Saccharomyces cerevisiae S288C: one gene and its partners. The gene in region 3 interacts genetically with the main gene of each other region. Each region holds a gene or a part of one and is shown on either strand. Other genes may lie near its edges.

What was found.
Region 1: of ORM1 (region 3) and YPK2, a mutation in one rescues a mutant of the other (synthetic rescue), as found in Saccharomyces cerevisiae (2 studies listed by BioGRID, with this or other methods).
Region 2: of ORM1 (region 3) and CRZ1, changing one suppresses a phenotype caused by changing the other (phenotypic suppression), as found in Saccharomyces cerevisiae (one study listed by BioGRID).
Region 4: of ORM1 (region 3) and CCC1, extra expression of one rescues a mutant of the other (dosage rescue), as found in Saccharomyces cerevisiae (one study listed by BioGRID).

What each region holds. Positions count from the first base shown.
Region 1 is NC_001145.3:469,947-479,385, reverse strand, and holds YPK2 (putative protein kinase YPK2), read left to right. Parts: upstream 1-3,932; coding exon 3,933-5,966; downstream 5,967-9,439. Other genes in the region: ATP-dependent DNA helicase YKU80, read left to right, coding at 1-1,085; YMR105W-A (uncharacterized protein), read right to left, coding at 1,128-1,322; phosphoglucomutase PGM2, read left to right, coding at 1,780-3,489; YMR103C (uncharacterized protein), read left to right, coding at 6,122-6,484; LAF1 (Laf1p), read left to right, coding at 7,034-9,439. UniProt on the Saccharomyces cerevisiae protein: Plays an essential role in the proliferation of yeast cells. Involved in a signaling pathway, required for optimal cell wall integrity, that acts in parallel with the PKC1-SLT2-dependent pathway.
Region 2 is NC_001146.8:577,761-582,116, forward strand, and holds CRZ1 (DNA-binding transcription factor CRZ1), read left to right. Parts: upstream 1-1,819; coding exon 1,820-3,856; downstream 3,857-4,356. Other genes in the region: KTR5 (putative mannosyltransferase), read right to left, coding at 1-1,013; SAM complex subunit SAM50, read left to right, coding at 4,160-4,356. UniProt on the Saccharomyces cerevisiae protein: Involved in the regulation of calcium ion homeostasis. Binds to the calcineurin-dependent response element. Transcriptionally regulates PMC1, PMR1, PMR2A and FKS2.
Region 3 is NC_001139.9:556,688-564,336, forward strand, and holds ORM1 (sphingolipid homeostasis protein ORM1), read left to right. Parts: upstream 1-3,994; coding exon 3,995-4,663; downstream 4,664-7,649. Other genes in the region: YGR035C (uncharacterized protein), read right to left, coding at 385-735; YGR035W-A (uncharacterized protein), read left to right, coding at 878-1,099; CAX4 (dolichyldiphosphatase), read right to left, coding at 1,462-2,181; long-chain fatty acid transporter ACB1, read right to left, coding at 3,044-3,307. UniProt on the Saccharomyces cerevisiae protein: Component of the SPOTS complex that acts as a negative regulator of sphingolipid synthesis. Acts by inhibiting serine palmitoyltransferases (LCB1 and LCB2) activity.
Region 4 is NC_001144.5:572,727-581,087, reverse strand, and holds CCC1 (Ccc1p), read right to left. Parts: upstream 4,264-8,361; coding exon 3,295-4,263; downstream 1-3,294. Other genes in the region: U3 snoRNA-associated protein UTP13, read left to right, coding at 1-1,770; RSA3 (Rsa3p), read left to right, coding at 2,064-2,726; MSC3 (Msc3p), read right to left, coding at 4,751-6,937; COA4 (Coa4p), read left to right, coding at 7,170-7,622; peptidylprolyl isomerase CPR6, read left to right, coding at 7,877-8,361. UniProt on the Saccharomyces cerevisiae protein: Has a role in both calcium and manganese homeostasis. Involved in the transfer of iron and Mn(2+) from the cytosol to the vacuole for storage of these metals.

The DNA of each region.
Region 1 (9,439 bases), on a different chromosome or scaffold from region 3:
AGAAAGAAAGGTATGTGGGGGTCAAATCCATAATCGAATATGAAATTCACAACGAAGGAAATAAGAAAAATGTCAGTGAAGATGACCAGTCTGGATCGTCATACATTCCCGTGACCATCTCCAAAGACTCTGTAACGAAGGCATACCGTTATGGTGCAGACTACGTAGTGCTACCGTCCGTTCTAGTCGATCAAACTGTATATGAATCTTTTCCAGGCTTGGATTTAAGAGGATTTTTGAATAGAGAAGCTCTTCCAAGGTACTTTTTGACGTCGGAATCCTCCTTCATTACCGCCGACACAAGACTTGGCTGTCAATCTGACTTAATGGCTTTCAGTGCTCTAGTGGATGTTATGCTAGAAAATAGAAAAATTGCTGTTGCAAGATATGTGAGCAAGAAAGACAGTGAAGTGAATATGTGTGCATTGTGTCCCGTTCTAATTGAGCACAGTAACATTAATTCCGAGAAGAAGTTTGTTAAGAGCCTTACCTTGTGTAGATTACCATTCGCGGAAGACGAGAGGGTAACTGATTTTCCAAAACTTCTGGATCGAACAACTACATCCGGGGTACCGCTGAAAAAGGAAACAGACGGGCATCAAATCGATGAGCTTATGGAACAATTTGTAGATTCAATGGATACAGATGAGCTACCAGAGATTCCGTTAGGCAACTACTATCAACCCATAGGCGAAGTAACAACAGACACCACTCTCCCACTTCCCTCTTTAAATAAAGACCAAGAGGAAAACAAAAAGGATCCTCTTAGAATACCCACGGTTTTTGTCTACAGGCAACAACAGGTGCTACTGGAATGGATTCACCAACTGATGATCAATGATTCCAGGGAATTTGAAATCCCAGAGCTTCCTGACTCATTGAAAAACAAAATAAGTCCTTACACGCACAAGAAATTTGATAGCACAAAATTGGTTGAAGTGCTCGGCATCAAGAAAGTAGACAAATTAAAACTCGACTCCGAACTAAAAACTGAGCTTGAGAGGGAAAAGATCCCGGACCTAGAAACGCTATTGAAGCGCGGTGAACAACACAGTAGGGGAAGTCCAAACAATAGCAATAATTAAAAAAGGTCTAACATCCTTTGAGTTATGTTTTCGTCACCACAGTTAAAGAGAAAAAAAAATAAATAGCGGGTAAATAATTGTCATACTACTGATTTGCATTGTTACCTTGTAACTTTGAACACTAGCCATGCAGGTTGCTTTTCCTCCTTTACACCTTCCCCCCTGTCGCTGTTCAAAAGTAAATGCAACAACAATAAAACGTGGGTAGAGGACGTTCCCTGTATGTACTAAAATCATACTATCATCCGTTGAGGTCGAGCGGTTCTCTAATCTCAACACACGCTGCTGCCCCTGAGCTTGCGAGCTAAGGACAACAGGGCCAACTTGTTCTTTCTAGGGGGGAGAGGCCCAACTTAGGCTCGGTGAAGAGAAGCGCGGAGCTCACGAAAAGGGGTGGTGTCGCGCACTACTTTTTTCGTGGGGAACTTACGTGAAAGGGGACGTTATACTTTTGTTATGTGCAGTTCCAGGAACAAACAGGGGTTGAAAAGTGTAAAAGAAATAGTTGATTCTTTCAGAATCTGGATGACTGCCGCCCGAACAATGTGGGAAATATAAAAAGGTACCGTTAATATTGTTTCATTTTCGAAGATAGTGTTCCATGTCTTTCTTCAGCGTTGCTTGAACAATAGGATAATAAGAAGAAGATCAACCAATCTTTCTCAGTAAAAAAAGTAACAAAAGTTAACATAACATGTCATTTCAAATTGAAACGGTTCCCACCAAACCATATGAAGACCAAAAGCCTGGTACCTCTGGTTTGCGTAAGAAGACAAAGGTGTTTAAAGACGAACCTAACTACACAGAAAATTTCATTCAATCGATCATGGAAGCTATTCCAGAGGGTTCTAAAGGTGCCACTCTTGTTGTCGGTGGTGATGGGCGTTACTACAATGATGTCATTCTTCATAAGATTGCCGCTATCGGTGCTGCCAACGGTATTAAAAAGTTAGTTATTGGCCAGCATGGTCTTCTGTCTACGCCAGCCGCTTCTCACATCATGAGAACCTACGAGGAAAAATGTACTGGTGGTATTATCTTAACCGCCTCACATAATCCAGGTGGTCCAGAAAATGACATGGGTATTAAGTATAACTTATCCAATGGGGGTCCTGCTCCTGAATCCGTCACAAATGCTATTTGGGAGATTTCCAAAAAGCTTACCAGCTATAAGATTATCAAAGACTTCCCAGAACTAGACTTGGGTACGATAGGCAAGAACAAGAAATACGGTCCATTACTCGTTGACATTATCGATATTACAAAAGATTATGTCAACTTCTTGAAGGAAATCTTCGATTTCGACTTAATCAAGAAATTCATCGATAATCAACGTTCTACTAAGAATTGGAAGTTACTGTTTGACAGTATGAACGGTGTAACTGGACCATACGGTAAGGCTATTTTCGTTGATGAATTTGGTTTACCGGCGGATGAGGTTTTACAAAACTGGCATCCTTCTCCGGATTTTGGTGGTATGCATCCAGATCCAAACTTAACTTATGCCAGTTCGTTAGTGAAAAGAGTAGATCGTGAAAAGATTGAGTTTGGTGCTGCATCCGATGGTGATGGTGATAGAAATATGATTTACGGTTACGGCCCATCTTTCGTTTCTCCAGGTGACTCCGTCGCAATTATTGCCGAATATGCAGCTGAAATCCCATATTTCGCCAAGCAAGGTATATATGGTCTGGCCCGTTCATTCCCTACCTCAGGAGCCATAGACCGTGTTGCCAAGGCCCATGGTCTAAACTGTTATGAGGTCCCAACTGGCTGGAAATTTTTCTGTGCTTTGTTCGACGCTAAAAAATTATCTATTTGTGGTGAAGAATCGTTTGGTACTGGTTCCAACCACGTAAGGGAAAAGGACGGTGTTTGGGCCATTATGGCGTGGTTGAACATCTTGGCCATTTACAACAAGCATCATCCGGAGAACGAAGCTTCTATTAAGACGATACAGAATGAATTCTGGGCAAAGTACGGCCGTACTTTCTTCACTCGTTATGATTTTGAAAAAGTTGAAACAGAAAAAGCTAACAAGATTGTCGATCAATTGAGAGCATATGTTACCAAATCGGGTGTTGTTAATTCCGCCTTCCCAGCCGATGAGTCTCTTAAGGTCACCGATTGTGGTGATTTTTCATACACAGATTTGGACGGTTCTGTTTCTGACCATCAAGGTTTATATGTCAAGCTTTCCAATGGTGCAAGATTCGTTCTAAGATTGTCAGGTACAGGTTCTTCAGGTGCTACCATTAGATTGTACATTGAAAAATACTGCGATGATAAATCACAATACCAAAAGACAGCTGAAGAATACTTGAAGCCAATTATTAACTCGGTCATCAAGTTCTTGAACTTTAAACAAGTTTTAGGAACTGAAGAACCAACGGTTCGTACTTAAAACGAATGATTTACTAATGGCTTAATGATTTTCACCTTTTTCAATGAATATTAACGGTAAAGAAGAAAATTTCAATTTTTTGAACACATACTTTATATACTTAATAGATCCATATTTCGACATATTAGCAAACGATTGCATAGGTTTCTGAGTCTTTTTTTTTTTTTTTTCATAAGGAGGAGAATATTTTGGTTAATCGCAGTATCTTCTTCATAAGTGCTGTTTCTAATTATATCTAATTCACGAATTTTTCCCAAATTAGCGTATCCCCGAATTCAGATTACCTACCCCGAGTTTTTTATTATATTTCCCTCGAGAAATCTGTAAAATGGCCGTCATCCTTAGATTTATAAATAAAATGATAAAATTCAGCCAAAGTGCTCCTAAACCAGAATTGTTCAACTGGGTCAAATTATCGCGTATACAAATATACATATAGTAACATGCATTCCTGGCGAATATCCAAGTTTAAGTTAGGAAGGTCCAAAGAAGATGATGGGAGTAGTGAAGATGAAAATGAAAAATCGTGGGGTAATGGCCTGTTTCATTTCCACCATGGAGAAAAACATCACGATGGTAGCCCGAAGAATCATAATCATGAACACGAACACCATATAAGAAAGATCAATACAAATGAGACTCTCCCAAGTTCCTTAAGTTCTCCAAAATTACGTAATGATGCATCCTTCAAGAATCCATCGGGGATAGGAAATGACAATTCTAAGGCTTCCGAAAGGAAAGCTAGTCAGTCGTCTACTGAGACGCAGGGACCGAGTTCGGAATCCGGACTAATGACAGTGAAGGTGTATTCTGGTAAAGATTTTACTCTTCCCTTCCCTATCACCTCTAACTCTACTATTTTACAAAAACTACTAAGTTCCGGCATCCTTACTTCATCATCCAATGACGCTTCCGAAGTTGCAGCCATAATGCGGCAGCTACCACGATACAAGAGAGTGGATCAAGATTCAGCAGGGGAAGGCTTGATAGATAGAGCTTTTGCCACTAAATTCATTCCTTCCTCTATATTGTTACCTGGGTCAACAAATTCAAGCCCATTACTTTATTTTACAATTGAATTTGATAATTCTATTACTACTATTAGTCCAGATATGGGAACGATGGAGCAACCAGTGTTTAACAAAATATCGACATTTGATGTAACAAGAAAATTACGATTTTTAAAAATCGATGTCTTTGCAAGGATTCCATCCCTACTTTTACCCTCTAAAAACTGGCAACAGGAGATTGGCGAGCAGGACGAAGTACTGAAGGAGATTTTAAAAAAAATCAATACAAATCAGGATATCCATTTGGACTCCTTCCATTTACCTTTGAATTTAAAAATCGATTCTGCAGCCCAAATAAGACTATACAATCACCATTGGATTTCTTTAGAAAGGGGATATGGTAAATTAAATATCACGGTGGACTACAAACCTTCTAAGAACAAGCCTCTCTCCATTGATGACTTTGATCTATTGAAGGTTATCGGGAAGGGTTCGTTCGGCAAAGTGATGCAAGTAAGGAAAAAAGATACCCAAAAGATTTACGCTTTGAAGGCTCTGAGAAAAGCATATATTGTATCGAAATGTGAAGTGACACATACTTTAGCGGAGAGGACTGTCCTAGCAAGAGTTGACTGCCCCTTTATTGTTCCGTTGAAGTTCTCATTCCAATCTCCGGAGAAGTTGTACCTAGTATTAGCTTTCATTAATGGCGGTGAACTGTTCTACCATTTACAACACGAGGGACGATTCAGTCTAGCACGCTCCCGTTTTTATATTGCAGAACTATTATGTGCTCTCGATTCATTACACAAACTTGACGTCATTTATCGTGACCTAAAGCCTGAAAACATTCTATTGGATTACCAAGGACATATTGCACTGTGTGATTTTGGGCTTTGCAAGCTGAACATGAAGGATAATGACAAAACAGACACTTTCTGTGGTACTCCCGAATATTTGGCACCAGAAATCTTGTTGGGGCAGGGCTATACTAAAACAGTTGACTGGTGGACATTAGGTATCTTACTGTATGAGATGATGACAGGGCTGCCACCATACTATGATGAGAACGTTCCTGTTATGTACAAGAAAATTCTGCAGCAACCGCTACTATTTCCTGATGGATTTGACCCTGCGGCAAAAGACCTATTAATTGGCCTCTTAAGCAGAGACCCAAGCAGAAGACTCGGCGTTAACGGTACAGATGAAATTCGTAACCATCCTTTCTTTAAAGACATCTCATGGAAAAAGCTACTTTTGAAGGGCTATATTCCGCCTTACAAGCCAATTGTAAAGAGTGAAATAGATACTGCAAATTTTGATCAAGAGTTCACTAAGGAAAAACCGATCGATAGTGTAGTGGACGAGTACTTAAGTGCAAGTATTCAAAAGCAGTTTGGTGGGTGGACGTACATTGGTGACGAACAGTTGGGTGATTCTCCTTCGCAGGGGAGAAGCATTAGTTAGAAGCAAGCCGAAGCAAGCCGAGCCGAGCCGGACGGAATTTATAGCTATAGCCGCAAGAGGTTGCAATTTTCAAAAATGGATAGTTCAAGTAGATTGCGATACGCACTCCGTTACTATTGTGGTTAACGGGGACAAGAAGAACTACAGAAAATAGAATGGTCCGCAGAGGCTGCGCTCTTCTTTTAGCAACTCTCACACGACTTATGTTGCTTATTCATTTCTTTTACAGCATTATCAGAATTCTTCCATCTACGGAATTGAGATCAAAGACCGACCTGTTGTCGGCCGAAGGACGGACGCTTATACCCGCGGATGTCAAAGCGAAGCCCGCGGGGCGCAAGTCGAGGTTACCGGAATTCGCCAAACGGCAAAGGACCCTTGCATTGCCTGAAAGGAAAGATTCGCTTTTCTGTTTGTTGCCACTTTTCTTACATAGTCTGGGCCGGGAGCAGCTTATTTCTTCCGCGGATGATCCTGGATTTCCTTGCGCGGGCTCAGCCATGGGGAGCCTTACCTAGTCCCGTAAAGGGAAAAAGCTAACCTCATTCGCCTCACAGGGTGAAAGCGTGAACAAAAAAAAAAGAAAAGCTTAATGATTAAAATTTACAGTATATATATATTTGTATTTACGTATTAAACTATATATAAATAGATATGTATGCCGAAAAAGTAAAGTCTGGGTGATGCCTAGTCCAATCTTTCTTACTACTGTCCAGTTTCTATCGTAGCAGTTAATTATACATAGAACTGTGTAAATTCAACGCATTAATTTTTTTTTTTTTCACTTTCGCAGTTAGGGGGGACACATTTTTTTTGCCCTTTCTTAAGCTTCGTAAGCGAGTTACATCATTATTTCTTCCTGGGATACAATACGCGTTCGTACAAGTCACAGCTGGACCGTATAGGGAACAAGACTGCAACTCTCTCCAACTTGTTAAACAGAGGAGGAAAAGAAAGAGGGAAAAGAGGAACAAAGACAATCAAAGAAAAAGAATAGAAAGCAGTTGCTGAGCTCTTGGCATATTGTATACGGTAGTGGCGTATAATATAGTACGAGAATTAGAAATATGACGAATATGGCGGAGGATAAAACAAGTATAAGCAAGGTACATTCTGAATTCAGCAATTCCTCGAATACCACTGGATCTGAAGAGGAGAGTCGGTCGCATCAAGAGAGCTTCGACGGCGAGTCCAGTTCCGGTGAAAGTAAAAGTAAAAGCAAACTAAATCTTGAATATTCTGCAGATATCGAGCCATTGAAGTTCAGAATGACAAAAACTAATAATACAAATGACAAATTAAAATATAGTAACAACGGCAACGCCACTGATTCATTTATGAGACTAAAGGAACATTTACAGAGAGGCAATACTTTAAATTCGAATCTTAGGGTCAATGAGTTTTACCCTTTCAATTCCATTGATACAGAGCAATTTGAAAACTATTTGAGAGAGCCAAAATACATTAAAATGTTGAAACGTCGGAAAAACCTGAAACAATTTAGAAGATTGTTTCTCGCGCAAGAACTAATGGCCTACGAAGGTGAAACGGTTACCTCCACTTCCAAATCATCTGAACCAACCTCTAAAGCTATATGGAGTACAAAGTTTAGCCGCGATGGAAAATTTATGGCCACTGGTAGCAAAGATGGTAAAATAAGAATATGGAAAGTTATTGGCTCTCCAGTTGAAAGAGCCGAATTGGACTCGAGTGCGGAATCAAATAAAGAGGCACGAGCCAAGTCGATGCGGATCAAACAGCAGGTCAGTTCATTGAACAATCCAAAAGAAAAACAATTTTTGGATTCTGCTACAGAGAAATACGAAGAGAAGGAAAAATTATTGAATTTGTATGCGCCTGTCTTTCACCCAACGCCTTTGCGACTGTATAAAGAACACGTGCAAGATGTTCTGGATATAAATTGGTCTAAAAATAATTTTATTTTGTCAGCATCGATGGATAAGACAGTAAAACTATGGCATCCCGATAGGAAAAATTCACTTAAGACATTCATACATCCTGATTTTGTCACTTGTGTGGAATTTCACCCCACCGACGATAGATTTTTCATTAGCGGCTGTCTGGATCACAAATGCAGGTTATGGTCTATACTGGATGATGAAGTTAGCTTTGAGTACGATTGTCAAGACTTAATAACATCTGTTACATTATCCCCTGAGGAGGGAAAATACACTATAATAGGAACATTTAATGGATACGTTCATATTCTGATGACCAGAGGTCTCACTCCAGTTTCTTCATTTCACGTAGCTGATAGACAAACACAAGAACAAAACGCTCACGTCATGGTCACGGAAACTGACTCAAAAATTCGTCATGGTCCACGTGTGACGGGTTTGCAAGCTTTTAGATCTCAACTGGACAATTCTTTCCGCTTAGTAGTTACATCGAATGATTCGAGGATAAGAATTTTTGACTTAGAACAGAGGAAGCTTCTAGAGGTATTGAAAGGCTTCCATAGCGGATCTTCCCAACACAAGGCACAATTGTCCATCTGGCATGGTCAGCCAATCGTTGTAAATAGTAGTGATGACCATTGGGTTTACGGCTGGAGGTTAAAGTCTTCGGATAGAGAGAATGATCAAGACGAACCTAAAAGGAAACCAAAGGGATTGGCTCGGTCCGGAAGTTTGAGAAGCATATTTAGTAAATCAATGAGTAGGTCTTCCAGCCAGAATAACGAAGAAAAACCACATCATCATTTAAAACTTACTAACTTACTTCCCTTGCCTCATCATAGCAACGATCATTATATCAAAAATACGGATTACATTTCTTTTCATGCACACAATGCCCCTGTTACTTGTGTTAGCATTGCACCGCCAGAAACTTCGAAAACATTATCTTTGTCTAACGATGTTATCTGCGAGCTATCTCTAGAGTTTTTTCAGACATCCGATAGTTTCGATGTTTTGAGTCGGAGTAACGACGATGGCATAATGTCAGATGTAGAGTCGTCTTTGGGCTACAATTCTAAACCAGGCTCAATTTCTAATGCTTCCGCCACCAGTGCTATCCCAGATGTCGTTGACGCAATTGGAACGATATTGATCAGTACTGATAACGTAGGGACTATTCGTGTGTTTAGAGCAGATATGCCCTCTGTTATAAGAAAGCGCGTGTTACTCAAACTAGAAGAATACAATAGAGAGGTTCGGAGAAGGTTTAACAGTTCTGATTCTTTGCATTCTTTGAGTCGAAGCTTCAACTCGAGAGCGAAATCAAACTTGGCTGGCCAACCGGCAGCGGCGTATACTAATACTGGAAAAGGCTATGCAACGGGACGTGGATACTCTAATATATGTCCCAAAAGCAGTACATCACTAAAAACACTCGGCAGTAATGCACAGCCAAGAACACCAAGGGAAAGCATGTCATCTATTTTCTCCAATGCACATGGGCCTACCACTCCAACGAGCGCAATGAATTTACCTATCCGTTGCAATGTTTGT
Region 2 (4,356 bases), on a different chromosome or scaffold from region 3:
CGAGCCTTATGTATCAAATTCATTATTCCCTCTTTGTCATCATTTATCTGTTGGAAATCATCACCCTTTTTCAAAAGCTGCTCGATGGCTATCTTTTCGGATATCTTAGCCTTGGCCTGAAAATCATAGTTGATCCAGTCCCGTAACTCCGGATCATCGGATTCAAAAATGTCGTAATCCTTTGTAAATAGTTTCCATAATGACCCAAGCGTAACGCCTTTTTGACTGATAAAGCTTTTAGTGTGTCTAAACAAATTTGGGACTGTCCAATACAATTCGGGGATGATGATCGTAAATCCATATTTCTTATTAGTTCGGAGCATCTCCAAAAAGGGATCGTAGGTAATATCACAGAAAAACTCAACATCGGGTTCCAATCTCCAATACCATTCGTACTTCTGTACTAGCGGGTGCTTGTAAAATAATCCTGAATAAAACCGGCACATCTTATGATATGATTCTAAGTTTCCGTAAAGTATGCTTCTATCACCTTGATCCTCAATTGCGTTGTAGAACTCGAACGTATCCTTTACGTCACTGGGAAAATTCCAAGATATCTCATCGATAGTGCCAAATTCCACCAGCGCGCCCACTGTAACATCACGTACTTTTGCTTTGAAGTCCTCTTCAAACGGCTGGTCATTTAAGAACACATATGGATAGTGGAACCACTGATTGAAATGCTCTTCTATACTGTTGATAGTCTTGATAACATCTTCTAGCTCCCCGTTCCTTGTTAGCATGACAAACGAGGCATTCTGCTTGATGTACGATGGATTCAACAAATAGTCCTGAGTATTCACACAATTCGAATAAAAGGGTCTGTCCCTCTTCGTCGCAAGATCCATCTTGGAAAACGGAAGAAAATTTCCCATAGTTCCGTCTACGGATGCAGGCTCAGATACAAGTACCACATACATGGTTATGACGAAGGCAATCAGGATGCACGTCGCCGTAAGATTGCAATGGATACATCCCAGAAATGCATTTATCGTCCTTCTTATTAGCAACATCTGCTACCTTATGACGATGTGCCGTATTGAGACACATTTATTGATGACACCTCCATTGAACAAGACTATTTGTGCACGGAAGCACTCATATCTACTACTTCGCATTTTTTTGAAGACCCTTTCTCGAATGCCTGCCCAAATTTTTCAATTTTCTTGGCATCATCCACACACCGCATGCTTAAAGTGTACTATCCAAAAAATGAGAGAAAAAGCAAATACCTAAAAGCACCCCACCTCTTCCATATCCCACGTAATGGCAATTGGCATATATGCTCGGCAAGGGAAATTACTGGTCGTAATATAGTGCAACATGCAACTTGCCAGGCGCACTATAGTCACATCTTATTATGTTAGCAGTTGAGCTCCAGCTTTGACTGCACTTTAGCTTAGTTGCAACTTCGCCCCTCTGTTGGGGGCTGAAAAGTACATCCGCGCATTTAACAATTGCTAAGCTATCTTGAATAACATTATACTAATTAATATCTATAGAAGCAGAATGTCTACTACGTCGAGGACCCTACCCCTGTATTTGTGCCTTGCATGAGCGAGCTATATATCAGCGATACGTTTTTTTGTTTTCCTTTCGACCTTCTTGCCTACCCTCTCACTTTTCCCACCTGAATTTTTTTTATCATATTAGTCCGATATTGAGTTTATAAACCTTGTGAAGTGCTAGATAAAGTACAATCAAAAGAGCAGGCAATAGCCATCACAGCAGTTTAGTACGATTATACACTCTGAACGCGAGTAAAACTAGGTTGTATTTTTAGTCTCGATTGGAAGTTTCGTCAGACAGTACAAGGAAGATGTCATTCAGCAACGGAAATATGGCTTCCTACATGACTAGTAGTAATGGAGAGGAGCAAAGTATAAACAACAAAAACGATATAGACGATAACAGCGCTTACAGACGTAATAATTTCAGGAATAGTAGCAATTCAGGATCACATACGTTCCAATTATCGGACTTGGACTTAGATGTGGATATGAGGATGGATTCCGCCAATTCATCGGAGAAAATATCAAAGAACCTTTCCTCTGGCATCCCGGACTCATTTGATTCTAACGTGAACAGCTTGCTGTCTCCGTCAAGCGGTTCTTATTCTGCAGATTTGAATTACCAAAGTCTATACAAACCAGATCTTCCACAGCAACAGTTACAACAGCAACAGTTACAACAGCAACAGCAACAGCAACAGCAACAACAACAGCAACAGCAGAAGCAAACACCAACTTTAAAAGTCGAACAATCTGATACATTTCAGTGGGACGATATCTTAACACCTGCTGATAATCAACATCGGCCATCCCTCACAAACCAGTTTTTATCTCCAAGATCTAATTACGATGGTACCACTAGGAGCTCGGGCATTGACTCCAATTATAGCGATACAGAATCAAACTATCATACGCCTTATTTGTATCCACAGGACTTAGTTTCTTCACCTGCGATGTCTCACTTAACCGCGAATAACGATGATTTTGACGATCTTTTGAGCGTCGCATCTATGAACTCAAATTATTTACTGCCCGTAAATTCACATGGTTATAAACATATTTCAAACCTTGATGAGTTGGATGACTTGCTATCTTTAACATATTCAGACAATAACCTTTTATCAGCATCAAACAACAGTGATTTCAACAACAGTAATAACGGAATTATTAATACCGCTGACACTCAAAACAGTACCATTGCCATTAATAAAAGTAAAGTCGGTACTAACCAAAAGATGTTATTGACTATTCCAACTTCTTCCACACCTTCTCCTTCCACTCATGCTGCCCCGGTAACACCCATCATTTCTATACAGGAATTCAATGAGGGACACTTCCCAGTTAAAAACGAAGATGACGGAACGTTACAACTAAAAGTTCGGGATAACGAAAGTTATAGCGCTACTAACAATAACAATCTACTTCGTCCAGATGATAATGATTACAACAACGAAGCTCTCAGTGATATTGACCGCTCCTTCGAAGATATCATTAACGGTCGAAAATTGAAACTTAAAAAATCAAGAAGAAGATCTTCTCAAACTTCCAATAATAGTTTCACTAGCAGGAGATCCTCGAGATCAAGAAGCATATCTCCCGATGAAAAAGCTAAATCTATAAGTGCAAATAGGGAAAAGTTATTGGAGATGGCAGATCTTTTACCATCCAGTGAAAATGACAATAATCGGGAGCGCTATGACAATGATAGCAAAACTAGCTATAACACCATTAACAGTAGCAATTTTAATGAGGATAATAATAATAACAATTTGTTAACAAGTAAACCAAAAATTGAATCGGGCATTGTCAATATTAAAAATGAACTAGATGACACTAGCAAAGATCTTGGCATACTTCTAGACATAGATAGCTTGGGCCAATTTGAGCAGAAAGTTGGTTTCAAAAATGATGATAATCACGAAAATAACGATAATGGCACATTTTCTGTTAAGAAAAATGACAATCTAGAAAAACTAGACAGTGTAACAAATAATAGGAAAAATCCTGCGAATTTTGCTTGTGATGTATGTGGTAAGAAGTTTACAAGACCTTATAACTTAAAGTCACACTTAAGAACGCATACAAATGAAAGGCCATTTATTTGTTCTATTTGTGGTAAGGCGTTTGCACGTCAACATGATAGAAAGAGACACGAAGATTTGCATACAGGTAAGAAAAGGTATGTATGCGGTGGTAAGCTGAAGGACGGTAAACCCTGGGGTTGTGGCAAAAAGTTTGCAAGAAGTGATGCTCTTGGTAGGCATTTTAAAACTGAAAGTGGTAGAAGATGCATCACTCCCTTGTACGAAGAAGCCAGACAGGAGAAATCGGGACAAGAGAGTTAATTATTTTTGTTTTTTTAAGCTTTGAATAGGAATTTTTTTTTTCTATATAATAAATATGTAATTTCATAATGACAGTGTAGAAATTATGGCTAATCTAATCCATGCAAAGGTATTATTTGGTTATTGTTTTTGTAATGAAATAGTATAAAACAGTGATATTCTTACGGATTAATAGTTTTTACGCCCGTCTGAATTTTCTAAGCTGCCGAAAATAATGGCAAGTAACAAAAAGTTATTGTATGAGGATGCGTTTTACGTGGCAAAAGTTTTGATGCCAAATAGACAAAAGTAGCTCAATTCAACATGACCTCATCATCTGGTGTTGATAATGAGATTTCCTTAGACAGCCCGATGCCAATTTTCAATGAGAGTTCTACTTTAAAGCCAATTAGGGTTGCGGGTGTAGTAACAACAGGGACAGATCATATCGACCCTAGCGTACTACAGGCATACTTAGATGATACTATTATGAAATCCATTACTTTGGGGCAGCTAGTGAA
Region 3 (7,649 bases):
ACATAGATCATACAAAAAATACAATAAATAAATCCTGTGTTTCTTTTATGTATATTTTTTATCAATTTCAATTTAGTTTAGTTTAGTTTCTTTAAAAATAAAATTGTAATTTCTCACATTCTGCCTTCGGGTCTCAAGGGCTGGTTGGTAGACGAATGCGCTTGTTTCTAGCTGAGCGGCAGATGCATGAATTCAATGCAAGAAAATGAGAAAACTTCCAATATTAAAATGTGATTGTTAATTATTAGTATATTTATGACAATATATATATGTACATAGGGTGATTATGAAGATGAGTAAGATGCGAATGGATATGAGGATATGAATCTTTTTAGAGACAATGAAGATGCAAAGAAGTAGTTAAGCACATTGACCTCAGGGTTGCTATATGCTACTTTTAGTCCGTTGGATTTCTGAAGCAGTATTGGCCACAAAAATTTCTTCATTATTTCTACGATTAGAGTTTCTTCTGGATTTTTCTCGTCCCTGAGACTTACTCCTTTTCAAGTCATTTTCAGCAGCAGCTTTGATTAAATCATATCTTGTGATTTTACTTGGAGAGCTATTGTGATGGGAACTTTGTCTGCATGTGACTGTATTAGTCAGAGATGTTATGGGCTTAACCATAAGGGAAGAAACTATGGCACGCATGAATGAATTACTGCTTTTACTGCTGTCATCTGTTGAGTTTGCTGAGTCTTCCGTTCTTGTAGTCTTGGCTGGTGTGAGTAACATTACGTATTGTTTCTGTAGAGAAGATAACTTATAACTTCCGTCTTGTCACTAGTTGTTTTAATTATATGTTTGTTACAAGTTTTTATGTATAGATATATGTTACAACTTTTAGAAGTATTGTGGACATAACAGAGAGAAGGGAATGTTGCTATATTTATATATTTTATATATTGCCCTCAAAACTGTATCTCATCTTTTTTTCTGCAATCCTTGCTTTCGTAATCTAAGTGTGGGTGACATGCTAAATCCGCGGCTTTCCTTAAGCTTTTTCACAAACCATCTATTATGTCCAGAAGCTCCGCTGATTATCCGTGGAAAAGGGTCTTATTCTGCCGTAGGAAACTTCTTCTCGAGAAAAAAGTGAGTTCACCCGCGGCGCTCTCGTAAAACCCGAGGGCCGATTCTTTCCCTCCGTGGAACAATCGGCCCCGCGGCGTCAGAGGGTATTATCTCCGCAAGTGATAGAACTCACATTTATTCTACGTTCTGCATGGTTTTGATTATCTTCTTTTGCACGATGTCACATACTTTTTCGATTACCGTCGCTTTACACAGTAACTGTTTAAAACGAGCGTTCTTAATTAATAACTGTAGGAGAGCAGGCTTTCGGCTTTCTTTATGAGAAATAAGGACTACTCCAGCTTGCCAAGTTTTATCCAGTTACACAAACGCTCAAGATCGCCTCGCTAAAATAGATGAAAAAATAAGAAAAATGAAATGTTCAACCTAATCCCTTTTGGATTTATCATTGAAAGATCGCTGATTTATTCTTTTCCAATACGCCTCGTAATTCTCTTTCAATGTCAAAGGCGCCAGATTGTAAGAATCTGTCATGTAAAATAATCTGACAATACGTAGTTTTAAAAACCAATTGATTAAACCAAGCTCTCTTATGATGCCAACTATAAAAAAATAAAGTGATCCAGTCAGTGCCCCCACGCTGAATCCCACGATTACTTGATCTAAATTGTGGTAGTGCAAGTAAACTCTGGAAAAGCAAACGCAAAACGATAATAAAGCCAATGCACCAGAAAAAATGCATTTTTCTAAGAAGTTTAGATTCTTCCAGGAAGTGTATATCTTCAGAGAGTTATAGGTAAAACAAAACCCCATGAATTGGGAGTGTGCACTGGGCATCCCGTAACCGGATCTTATAGTGTCATTTTGGAACGACGCACCGAACGATACGGGGCGTGGCTGTTTTATTATATTCTTGATCACGTTATTGAATATTTCGTTCATCAATTGGCCAAAGGCTACAATGCAGGCTTCTAACTCTCTTGTGATGATAAACCACGACAAATAAAAAGCTAGCACTAGGATGGGCATCAGCGAGAAATATGCACTAAGGAATGATAGAAAGTCATGCGAATCATAGAGAATGTATGTGTCATCGAATGGTATAACATTTGGATTTGGATTTATTGCAGCGGCGGTACTATTCATGATATGATCCGATTCAAAACAAATTTTGATGTAGATAAAATGCCTGGTATAATGAGTGGTAGAGAAGAAAATTAGACGAAAAGAATGAGAACGAAGAAATGATTTAAAGTGATCACAGTGGCAATCACTTTCCCCTTTTTAACGCGTGTTGAGCAATCGATTGATGTCTCTACCATATGTAGCATTTTCTCAGAAGGCAAACTTTTCTTTTTCTTTCTACTTTTCCAACAAGAAATTTTAAGTTTTCCCAGAAACCCGAATTCTCCTATTTCATCCACCACGTAAGAACGGTTTTCTTCCTGGCGTAATTAAAAGCATAAAGAAAAACTGAACAAGCTCTAGATGTAGATCAGGGTATACATGGTGCGCTTCAGTAAGTGTACTGTACCACTAGTTTGGCGTCTGTCACTTGAATTGCGGATTTGTGTAGAGCAATGAAAGCGCTGCTTCTGCCGCCATCAAAAAAAACTGAGTAGTTATTAAAGCCTATGTATGACAATATAAAAATGTATACAGATCAGTCTGTATATAAATCATGAAAATATCTTTAAAAATTTCAAGAGCGTGTTTCCGCTAAACCTTGTCATATTCAACACAAATCAGTATCATTCTCGGCGTAAATTACATGCGAATCTCCCTAATTGTGATTCAATATTCCAGCGAACCCCGAGAATTTAAATAGAACAGAGTATATGCATTTATTAACAGTTATTACGCCTTGTCCCCAGGGAGAGTAGTAAGGGATATGGGCATTTATAAATGTACATAAGTCACGTTTTTGCAGCCAATAAAATATAATAATAGAATAGTAACAAGGAAAGCTAGGCCAAAACTCCTTACATGGAGCTAGTATACCCCTTTTCTAAGAGGAGTACTTGGCAATCAGTTGATCAACAAGGGCAATGTATTCCTTTTCGGCATCTTCCTGGGATTTACCTTTTAAGTTTTCCCAGGCTTCCCACTTGTAGCGGTCCTTCATGTTGAAAATACCAGGCTTTTCCTTGTCGTTGTCACCTACAGTGGCTTGCTTGTACAGAGCATACAATTCTAATAATTCATCAGTGGAGGGCTTCGTTGGTAGCTCGTTGACGGCTTTAGCTTTTTCTTCGAATAATTGGGAAACCATTTTGCTGAAAACACTAGTTTAACTAATTTTAGAGTTTTAGTCTTCCTTCTTTTGCTTCACACAGTGAAATGATGTACATAACGTACTTGCTTCCGAGACAGACCAATTGATCCAAGCTAGCTATATATATGGCGGTCATTGGGGAGTTGGCCTGGAGCTGTTGAGTTTGCGGACGTGTCAGAGAGCGCGTAGGGCCGCCAGCGCCACCTGTCTTCAGGCACCAAGGCCGTAATCTCTTCCGACGGTCATTTTTTAATGGAATGTTTCAATACGAGAGTTTGTGGCATGTAGTTTAGGAACGGATTATAGAGAATAGTCGAAATATGTTTAGTCCCTACACAAATTGCTAGACTACCTGTTTCGAGTTTCCTCTATTCCTTTGCTAACGGAGCTGCGGTATATAAACCATCGTAGACTCAAAGCCGTTACCCGACAACTATCGGGTATAGTGAAATGCCTATGTTTTCACTTTAAGACCTTAGAAAACTATCATGAGATCTCGCCTTCAGATGCAGATATTTCAGTGGATTCACGAAACAAGAAAAATTCACTGATCGATAACATCTTCCTTTGCTTGATATTCCCTTTTTGAATTTCCCTAACTACCTTTTGTTGTTTACCACATATTCTCTAAAAAGCAGAGTTATTCTTATTTTGTATTTCATTGCATTTTTATCCATTTAGTTAATGACCGAATTAGATTATCAAGGAACTGCTGAGGCGGCTTCTACCTCGTATAGTCGAAATCAAACGGACCTTAAGCCGTTTCCTTCTGCAGGCAGTGCATCTTCATCAATTAAAACGACGGAACCTGTGAAAGATCATAGAAGAAGGCGTTCTTCCAGCATAATTTCACATGTGGAACCGGAGACTTTTGAAGATGAAAATGACCAGCAACTTCTACCAAATATGAATGCTACTTGGGTAGACCAACGCGGCGCTTGGATTATTCATGTGGTCATTATCATACTGCTGAAACTATTTTATAATTTATTTCCTGGTGTTACCACAGAATGGTCGTGGACTCTGACTAATATGACATATGTTATTGGGTCCTATGTCATGTTCCATCTGATTAAGGGTACCCCTTTCGATTTCAATGGTGGTGCTTATGACAACTTGACGATGTGGGAACAAATTGACGACGAGACTTTATATACTCCTTCAAGAAAATTTTTGATTAGTGTCCCGATCGCCCTATTCTTAGTTAGTACTCATTATGCTCACTATGATTTGAAATTGTTTTCATGGAATTGTTTTTTGACAACCTTTGGTGCTGTTGTCCCAAAGTTACCTGTTACTCATAGATTAAGGATTTCTATCCCAGGTATCACAGGTCGCGCCCAAATTAGTTGAACATAGTTTATTTCAATCTTGTATCTAGATGTTTTTGCTATATTTATATTTTCTGGGCCAAATCACTAACGCTTTGAAATTTCAAAAGCCAACAACGGATTTCGGACTTCATTTATGTAAATGAAAAAGAATGTGAACAAAAATTGAAAAAATTCCATATTAATGCACCTTCTAAACCTATTTGTTGAAATTGTATTTAATTCATATAATCATATTCTATTCAAAAAGAATAACAGATAGTATTAGCACTATTTCACGTACTGCTTCTAATACTATTATCACAAAATAGACATCGGAAAACTCAAAAATAACGACAACTGCAGGACTCGAACCTGCGCGGGCAAAGCCCAAAAGATTTCTAATCTTTCGCCTTAACCACTCGGCCAAGTTGCCAATGTATACATTGCTGTTTCCTGGTTTGAAGAAGCTAATCGTGCACGTAAACAACAATCTATACTACAAGTAAAAAAATGGGGAAAAAGATGCTGAAGGTGAGATATATGTGGGTAATTAGATAATTGTTGGGATTCCATTGTTGATAAAGGCTATAATATTAGGTATACAGAATATACTAGAAGTTCTCCTCGAGGATTTAGGAATCCATAAAAGGGAATCTGCAATTCTACACAATTCTATAAATATTATTATCATCGTTTTATATGTTAATATTCATTGATCCTATTACATTATCAATCCTTGCGTTTCAGCTTCCACTAATTTAGATGACTATTTCTCATCATTTGCGTCATCTTCTAACACCGTATATGATAATATACTAGTAATGTAAATACTAGTTAGTAGATGATAGTTGATTTCTATTCCAACATACCACCCATAATGTAATAGATCTAATGAATCCATTTGTTAGTTAATAGTTTAAATGTTTTTATCGGAAGAGGTTTTGTCATCACATCAGCAATGTTCTTCTTGGTCTCGATGTAGTATACGTATAGATTATTACCTGATACTTCATCTCTAAGTCTCATTGCCTTTGTGCCAAAAAATCTGTTTCTAAATTTCTCTTCATTTGTAGACTTAATTATACTGATCGTTGATCTACTATCAGTAAGTAAGCCTTTAATAATTGGTTTCTTGTTAAGTTCTTGCACAAGGTGACTGAGGTTATTCAATAGCGGAATAGCTTCACTGACTGCGTGTATTTCTGCTTCTGTAGTTGAAGTGCATGTTAACGAAGCCTTTGTCGACTTTCCTCCAATCACTTTTCCGTTGAGTAGGAAAATGTTACCAATTTGTGACTTGTAATATGGTTGGTTACCATATGAAGCATCGCTTATTGCGACTAGTTTATTATCTGGCTCGGTAGGTTTGTTTTTGTGCCATATCAGTTGTTTATCTCTAGTGTCCCACATGAATTGTATTAACTCATATGTCATGTCTAAAACTTGCCTAGAGGGGAATAGTATATGTTGAGCAAGTGTGTTGATGTAGTATAGTAAGTCAAATCTAAATTTATATCCAACATATGAAGCTAGACCAATCAACTTTTGCATTTCATGTACCTTCTCTTTGTATTCATCTTCATCTATTTCTAGTTCATCCTGGTCTATATAAAGACCTGGTTGACCTGGAGCGCTAAGTTTTCTTCCTTTTGGATTCAAAGGTACGTTTAATTTGGGTATTTTCTCAGTTAATGAGTTTTCCATACCTAATTTCATGTATTTACCTCTTTGATATTTGATTTCTAAGCCAAGTATGTCGTACTGAATTTCGTTATCACTTTCACCCAGATTTATTATCTTTGTATCGTATTGTTTCTTGAGTGTTGTTATGATTTTCTTATTTGCATTTAAGTCTTTGCTGAACAATATCATATCATCAACGAATAAGCAAATTGTTACTTGACTATTCTTAAATACGCATGACCATCCACGAACTTCTTCCATACCACACTGTTTTATCAGGTATGATTTGATAGTTTCGTACCAGTTCGCTCCACTTTGTTTCAATCCATAAAGTGATTTCTTCAAACGTATCAACTTATCATTCATTCCTAAATGTGGTGGAGGTCTTATGTATAATTCTTCTTTGATGTCTGCATACAAATATGCCGAAGATATGTCTAATTGTGTAATATAGTAGTTATTGTCTAATGCAAGTGACAGGGATGTCATTAATGCATAGTGATGTACGGTATTGGATTGCATGCCTGAGTCGTAAGTGTCAGGATGCTGAATATCACCTCTTGCAACAAATCTAGCTTTATGAGTACCGTCACGTTTCCTGTTGAAGATAAACATTGAATTTATTACTCTTTTAGGGTCTATTTCTTTTCTGTCATAATATTTGTCAGTGTCCCAAGTATTCATTTTCAATAGTTGGTTGACTTCTTTGTGGTATGCTTCGATATATTTTTCCTTTTCTTTAATATCTTTATTATAGGTGATTGCCTCATCGTATCTTAAGGTTGTCCGTATTGGTTTGATTGATTTTACTGCTTTTACAGCTGCAATCAGGTGAATTCGTTTCTTCGATCTCGGAGGTTCTAAACTACGCATATTCTTAGTATTCCATGTGTCTCGTGATACCTTAATTTCAGTTTCATTATCTTCTAATGATCTTTTCTTACTGTTGATAGTAGTATAGGCATTAGAGTCACCAATACCACCCAAACTGGAATTAGTTTGATGAGAATTTATCGGTGGGAGTTCTTTAAATGGGTCAGGGAATTCGGTAGGAGATTCTGGAGGTAGATCAGGGAGTGGGAGATCAGCGATGATAGATTCCTCGGTATTCTGTTCAGAAACAGTAGTTGGCGTTTTGATAGGAACAATATTGTGCGATGAATTATTTTCCGGTGGAGAAGCATCGATTGAAGGTGAACGGTGTATAATCCTTTTCTCAGTCTCTTGGTCACTTATCTGCGGAACAGTTTTGTTGTTGGTACCACCCGTACTGGATATTGGTACGTTTGTATGATTAGTCTCATTTTCACTGTACGAGTCTGAGTGTCTGAAATCTTTAGATT
Region 4 (8,361 bases), on a different chromosome or scaffold from region 3:
AAGAAATGTAAATTGTTGAAAACACTTCCAGTAAATCAACAGGTAGAGTCATGCGGATTCCTAAAGGATGGTGACGGTAAACGCATAATTTATACAGCCGGCGGTGATGCTATCTTTCAGTTAATTGACTCTGAATCTGGTAGCGTGCTTAAAAGAACCAATAAACCTATAGAAGAGTTATTCATTATTGGTGTACTTCCAATATTGAGCAATTCACAGATGTTTTTAGTATTGTCTGACCAGACATTACAACTAATTAACGTTGAAGAAGACTTAAAGAATGATGAAGACACAATACAGGTCACTTCGAGCATTGCTGGTAATCATGGTATTATTGCTGACATGAGGTATGTTGGCCCAGAGCTGAATAAATTAGCTTTAGCTACCAATTCTCCATCGCTTAGGATAATACCCGTCCCCGATTTATCAGGCCCAGAAGCTTCGCTGCCTTTGGATGTCGAAATTTATGAAGGTCATGAAGATTTGCTAAATTCATTGGATGCTACTGAGGATGGCCTGTGGATCGCAACCGCCTCTAAAGATAATACGGCTATTGTTTGGAGATACAATGAGAACAGCTGCAAGTTTGATATTTATGCCAAGTATATTGGTCATTCAGCTGCCGTAACTGCTGTTGGATTGCCAAATATAGTTTCAAAGGGATATCCTGAATTTTTATTGACAGCATCGAATGATTTAACAATTAAGAAATGGATAATTCCAAAGCCAACTGCTAGTATGGATGTTCAAATCATCAAGGTATCCGAATATACTCGTCATGCCCATGAAAAGGATATCAATGCTTTGTCAGTTTCTCCTAACGATTCTATTTTTGCAACAGCATCATACGACAAGACCTGTAAGATCTGGAACCTAGAAAATGGTGAATTGGAAGCCACGTTGGCCAACCACAAGCGTGGACTATGGGATGTATCATTTTGCCAATATGATAAATTATTGGCAACTTCTTCAGGTGATAAAACAGTCAAGATATGGTCATTGGATACATTCAGCGTTATGAAAACATTGGAAGGTCATACCAATGCGGTTCAAAGATGTTCGTTTATTAATAAGCAAAAACAACTGATCAGTTGTGGTGCTGATGGCTTGATCAAAATATGGGATTGTTCTAGCGGTGAATGTCTGAAGACTTTGGATGGTCATAATAATAGATTATGGGCTTTAAGTACTATGAATGATGGTGATATGATCGTAAGTGCTGATGCAGATGGTGTTTTTCAGTTTTGGAAAGATTGTACGGAACAAGAAATAGAAGAAGAACAAGAAAAAGCTAAATTACAAGTCGAACAAGAACAATCGCTTCAAAATTATATGAGCAAAGGTGATTGGACAAATGCATTTTTGTTAGCAATGACTTTAGATCACCCAATGAGGTTGTTTAATGTTTTGAAAAGAGCTTTGGGCGAATCAAGGTCTAGACAAGATACCGAAGAGGGCAAAATTGAAGTCATTTTCAATGAAGAATTGGACCAAGCCATCTCTATCCTAAATGATGAACAGTTAATTTTGTTAATGAAACGATGCAGAGATTGGAATACAAATGCAAAAACACATACCATAGCGCAAAGAACAATAAGATGTATTTTGATGCATCATAACATAGCAAAATTGAGTGAGATACCCGGAATGGTAAAGATAGTTGATGCAATAATTCCATACACGCAAAGGCATTTCACAAGGGTTGATAACTTAGTTGAACAAAGTTACATATTAGACTACGCGCTAGTGGAAATGGATAAGCTATTCTAGGCAGTAAGTCCAAGATATTGAGCCTTTAAAAGCAAGGCAATAGCAACATATTATTTTGTAAACTAGATATATAAAGACAAAATGCATTGATGAAGCGGAAAGCTTAAAATAATTCGATATATAATTAGGTGCCTTTACGGGCATTGAAAACTTCTTTGCGCGAAGAGCTCATCACTAAAAATTTGCAAAAAACGAAGAGCGAAAACTTTCATATATTGTAGTAATATATACAAGAATTTAAACTGCCCACTTGAAATAGCACGGAAAGAACTAGCCATAATATATTATACAGGATGTCGGCAGGTGATATATCAGCCATAAATATCAAGTCTGTCAAAAAAAACAGAAGGAGGAAGAAGAGAAGAACAGCTGATGTTTCATCATCAGATTCTTCATCATCGGATCCATCATCAGAAAGTGAAAAGGAGGAAATCCAAAATGGGGCCATCGAAGAACACGTTGGAGAAAATGGTAAAAGTGATCATGTTTTCTCAAAAGGTAATGACGAAGACAAACAAGAGGACATTGCAATAGAAGTTTCGGATGTCGAGCTTACAGACGAAGAAAGCAAGGATTTGAAGTTAAATTCAAAAGAAGTGATAGACGATTTAACCAAAATTTCTTTGAGCAAGATCCCAGAGCCTACGAAATCTCAAAACAAGGAGGGTTTTATGAATGCATCGAAAATTGCCGAAAATATCAAGCTTGCGAGAGAAGAATACAATGAATTGGCAGAAAACTTTGTGCCCAAAGGGAAAGACAAGACAAAGTTAAGGGAAGAATACTTAAATTTACTTTTTGAAAACTACGGTGATGATATCAATCGTCTTAGAGCTGCCCCGGATTTCACGAATAAATCACTATCCATTTTGGCAGATGCTCTGCAGGAAGGCATAGGAATGTTTGATATTGGTGAACTAGAATTGGTCTTGAAAAATAAAGAAATGGAGAACTGAAAAATATTGCTTTAAATCTTTTTCTAAAAGTTTGTCATGTTTCCGCGGAGAATATATTGACGTGCACATTAATTATTTAGATAATTCTTCGATTTTTAATGAAGAGCGGTCCTGATCCAAGTTGTGCTTCATATGGTATAAAGCTGATTCCAGTATACTGCACGAGAAGTATATGTATGTATTTTGTAATTTATATAAAGGCAAAAAAAAGAAAAACACTTGGGCATAATGGAGGAGAAGATCTTATGACCTGATAGTCAAAGAGAAAAAGAAAAAAGCAGAAGGAGCAAAGAAAGGCGGCGACCAAATGACGAATTAGATCCAATGAAAAACGATTCAATGCGAATAAAGGTTATCATGGATCACCTGATGGGCCTCTTGGCAATAGAAAAAGAAACTAGTTTGAAATTCATTAATATAAATAAATTTAAAGAGGAGAATATAGAAACAAATTAAAACGTAAAAGAAATGTATGTCGAGAAAATCCAGCCCAGTTCCAAGTATATAGCAAAGCTTCTCAATCCCAAATTTCTTTACAATAAATATGTATAGTGTTGTTACTTTACACTTAACCCAGTAACTTAACAAAGAACCAAGCCGCACCTGCTGCTACACCACCCACAACAACCATTTCAACACCTTCCGTAACTTTCTTTGAAGTCGAACTGCCACTACCCATGGATAGTTTTGTCTTTACGTAACCAAACCAGAATAATGTTACAACCATGACTATTATAGAATAAATGAGACCTGTGCCCACATCTGAGACAAAAAAATATGGCACTAGTGGTACTAGCCCACCAAGTAGATAACCGCCACCGATAGTGACTGCACTGATTAGTTCTCTATTCTCGGCAGGTTCGTCTAGACCCCTACCGTACCTGATAATGAAGTCAACCATTAGCTCAGGTGTTCTTTGTAAATCTTTGATGAACGAAACGATTGTTTCGTCCGAGAAATTAGGGTTAATCTCTAACAGAATGTCTTCAATTTCTCTGTTAATTAGGTTGGAGTTATCGTAAAATTTCCTTTTCTCCTTCTTTACTTCAGCATGATAATAATCAGATTCACTCTTCGCTCCCAAATAGCCACCAAGGCCCATAGAAATCGCACCTGAGATCAACTCAGCAAAGCCACCGGTAATGACCAATTTCGCATCACCAAGTGAAGATAGACCAGCTGTTAGAGCAAAGGGGACGGTTAAACCGTCGCTTAGCCCGATAATCAAATCGCTAATTACGCGAGGATCTACTGATTGGAAGAACCCTAGGTTCGCCTTTTCGTTATCCGAACCGTTATCGCCATTCCTATTATCTTTCCCTACTGACATCGGTGAGTTTTCTAGATCCTGCGCTGAATTTCTACCATAGATAATATCCGAGCTAGATGAGGATAAGTTATCATGCCTTGAACTATTGCTATTACTACCCCTCAACAAGGGAGTTGATTCAGACCCCCCCAACTCTGAGGTTCCACCACTACCTTTCGCTTTCTGTATAAGGGTCACCACTGCGTTCTTTAGTGCTACAATGGACATAATATTTGTGTGCACGAGATATGGGAGGACAAAAAAAAAGTTTCTTTGTTCAATATACCAATAAAAAAAAAGAGTCTAAAGGCTTCGTTCTGTTATATTTCTATTCTATAAACCTAAAAAAAGCAAAAATTGAGAGTGATGTCGCTTTAACTTGATTATTTGAACTATTTTGTTTTGTATCAATTTTTCATATATAATCTTAATTTTACATCTTCATTGTGAGACATTCGGGCTAACAAAGAAAACAAAAAATGCGGGTCACGAAAGGGGTACCGAGCCAATGAGAAGAGGGTATGTTAGTAATATTAGTGAGAAATGCGGCGCGATTGGTCCAGACCGAAAAAAATCAATATTATTAAACTGTAAAAGTTATATTAAAAATTAAGTTACATTAGTAATTGAAGTTCACAAGAAGAAAAAGAAGAGAATAAATCTAAAACCAGGCTTCAAAAATTAGGGTTGATTGCAAAATTCGAGTAAACAACTGCTAACGGCTGCTTTTTTTCTTGAACAGTTTAGTGAAGAAACTGGACTTCTTGTGCTTCGTGGGAGGATCTTGTGTTTGAGCCTGTATTGTCTTAGTGGCATGTGTCGAAGTGACCATTGTTGGCTCAGCGGCAGATAATTCATTCGTCGATGATGTTGTTGGATCCGTGGCGTCTTCCTGACGCTGAGGGGTTTGGTCCTGTAAAAGCGAAGAAGAAGACTTTAGATTATCCTGCAGTTCCGGTGATCTTGTTCTCGTTGTTGAAGCTACTGCGGAGGTAGGTACATTGCCCTGACTTTGCCCATTCGAGGACGCAGTAGTCGAGTCTATTTGTTGTTGAAGGGGTGAAGGTGAATCTGTAACTACTGGATTCGTCATCACACCTTCGTTTGAAGATGGCTTTGCGGTTGTCACACCTTCCGAAATAGACGCTGCTGGGAAGCTTTCTTCAGCATTACGAGTAACTGGAGTTTGTTCGCCTTGTTCCTTCTTGTGCTGGTAGCCGTAGTTTTCTTGAGAGAATTGCAGCACTTTATCGAACATGGTTTTGAACTTATTTTTGGAAGAACCAGTTGTTTTTGTCTTCTGCAATGGAATGGGCTCGTATTCATGCACTTCGCTTTGGACTGGAATTTCAGAATCCCCTAAATAGTGCTGCTCATTGGGCGGGATGCTCCCAGTGGATCCCAGATGGCTAACGCCGACCTGACGAGGTTTAGCCGCCGTAGTGCTATTATCGACTGCTTCAGGTTGAATACCATGTGAGTTGTAATACCTCGCTTGTGCGATTTTCAAAGCTTGGTCATACATTTCTTTATCTGTTAGCCCTGTGTTTGCACTTTTAGGCTCTGGAACTGGGTCAACAGCCTTATTCGATTTAAAATGTGTAGACACAGAGTGATTGTGCACTTCATGGGGGGCGCTTTTAGTATTTCTGCTGAAGAAGGAACTTGTAAATCTTTTTGGTTGAACCTCGACATTAGATTTGACAAGATTAGCAGTCGCCGTCGGAGAATCACTACTGCTTCTCAAGGTCATTTTTTGACCCATCCTACTTTTCCTGGATTTGTTACTCCCGAGGGGGGCCGATGCGTTATCCGAAGCAGCATCCGTGTGATAAACGTTTCTTTTAGCAACCTCTAGTGCCTTCAGATACATTTCTGCTTCGGTTAATGGTTTCTTGGCCTCTGCTTCTGCGTTTTTCACGGCAGGCGGTCTTTTCTTCCTTCTTGTCGTCGATGCTTGCTTCCTTTTATTATGAATATATTTACTACTGGTCTGATGGGTGGGAGGAATATAATCTAATGCGTCACTGAAGTTTGATAAACTACTTTCTTCTTCTAGAGGCATAACGTCTGTAGAATACTTATGGTGGAAATATGATCCAAGTGGGAAATCTGGTTTTTCCACGTTTAGCTCTGAATCATCTTGTAAATGACTTTCGCTTACTGGGGAATATGGCTTTTCGTTATCTGTTTCGTTTTCCTCGATTATATCGTGAATGTTATCACTAGCTTGTTCCTCTAAAATGTCGTCATCTTGCAACATGTAATTTTCACTAAATTCATCGAAATGACGCTGCGAGTCACCTAATGGAACCAAATTCTTAGTCGTAGTCGTGGTTTCTACGTATTCATACCCATTTATTTTTCTTATTGTCTTTTTGGTAATTGATTGAGTCCTTCCTGAAGGGTCTGTTACTTGTGTAGTCTTTACGGTAATGGAGTTGGCCCTTGAATCGTTATTGTTGCCGGCCGTCGATTTGTTCTTACCGTAGTTTCTTCTGACATTCGCACCAGACGTCATAGAATTCATACGGCTCCCATTAGTAGTATAACCGGGCGGGTGTAAATGGTACTCTCCGCTCCTTTGCGACCTCAACGAGTAAGTCTTCTGTGAATACTGCTTAGCTGCTGCCCTGGACGTTGGCGGAGCGGCAGAGGATGTGGAAAGCCTTCTTCCTGGGCTCTTTACCGAACTTCTTTGTCTCGGTATTGAAGGTGCATGACTAACCAGCGAGTGCGACCTTGAGTAATTGGTTCGATCCGGTGATGCGGCAGAAGCAGCAGAGGCAGCAGCAGCAGAGAGCTGAGGACTTTTGTTATAATCTTCATGGTTCTGATAGTAGTAATCATACCTAGATAAATCAGGTACCCTCCTGTCCCTCTTTGTAAAACCAAATACCATTTTCAACTTTCTTGATCAACAGAATGTCTTTGTTTGTTTATTCTAGTGAAAAAATAGAAGTAAAAAGCAATCAATATAAGCAACGTGAAACGATCGAAGGAAACTAAAAGAGGTTTGATGTTAGAAGAATTGATTAACACCAAATCAAGCAATTTATTGAAGTATGGGTCCCTGATGTTTGTCCTTCTCGTTCTTGCTTTCCCTCCCCTCTTCTCATCCATTCGCTTCATTTATGCTTTTATTTTCTTCTTTTTTTTCTCACAACAAATGTCCGAAACAAAAAAAGGGGCCTCAGCCATTAAAGGTAGTGAAAGGCACTTCTAAGAGTTGCGCCAAACAAGGGAAGATTAAAGGGAAAGAAAAGCTCTGGCAGGCTAAAACTGGCAGACTGGTCATGAGTGAAACTGGCGAAACTTCAGAGTATTATAAGCAGGCGCTGGAAGAATACAAAGAGGTCCAAGAAGACGAAGACCCGGATGTGTGGGACACGAGAATATCCAAGACCGGATGCTACGTAGAGAACCTCGCATTACAGCTGTGCCATGCCGAAACAGGTGACTGGAGGCAGTGCTTCAACGAGATGGCGTTATTTAGGAAGTGTTGGGAAAAGAATGGTAATAGAGAGCGCGTAAGCACAGTGGACGTGGATGGGACGACCAGTAAGGATTCGGAAAAGAAGAAATGAAAATCTAAATGTCGTGATGTATAACTTGTATATAATAGACAGCTGCAGTGATCGAAACACATTGTTTCCCTTTATAGAACATAACTGTTACGCTTTTGAACGGCATTTCTATGAGCTTCTAGAATATTTTTCCGCCCTAGCTGGAGAAAGTTCAGACAGAAAATTATTTAAATAAGTCGAATATCAGAGGTGCTGATGCGCTCACATCACATAGAAAACTGGTAAGACAATATTCAGGCGATCAAGGAGTAAAAATGACTAGACCTAAAACTTTTTTTGATATTTCTATTGGAGGTAAACCCCAAGGCCGTATAGTTTTTGAGTTGTACAATGACATAGTGCCTAAAACGGCTGAAAATTTTTTGAAGTTGTGTGAAGGAAATGCTGGTATGGCAAAGACTAAACCTGATGTACCATTGTCGTACAAGGGTTCCATTTTCCACAGAGTGATCAAAGACTTCATGTGTCAATTTGGTGATTTTACCAATTTTAATGGTACTGGCGGTGAGAGCATATACGATGAAAAATTCGAGGATGAAAATTTCACTGTTAAACATGATAAACCATTCCTTCTATCCATGGCCAACGCCGGTCCAAATACCAATGGATCTCAAGCTTTCATAACCTGTGTTCCTACACCTCATTTGGACGGGAAGCACGTTGTGTTTGGTGAAGTGATTCAAGGTAAAAGAATTGTTCGTTTGATTGAAAACCAACAATGTGACCAAGAAAACAACAA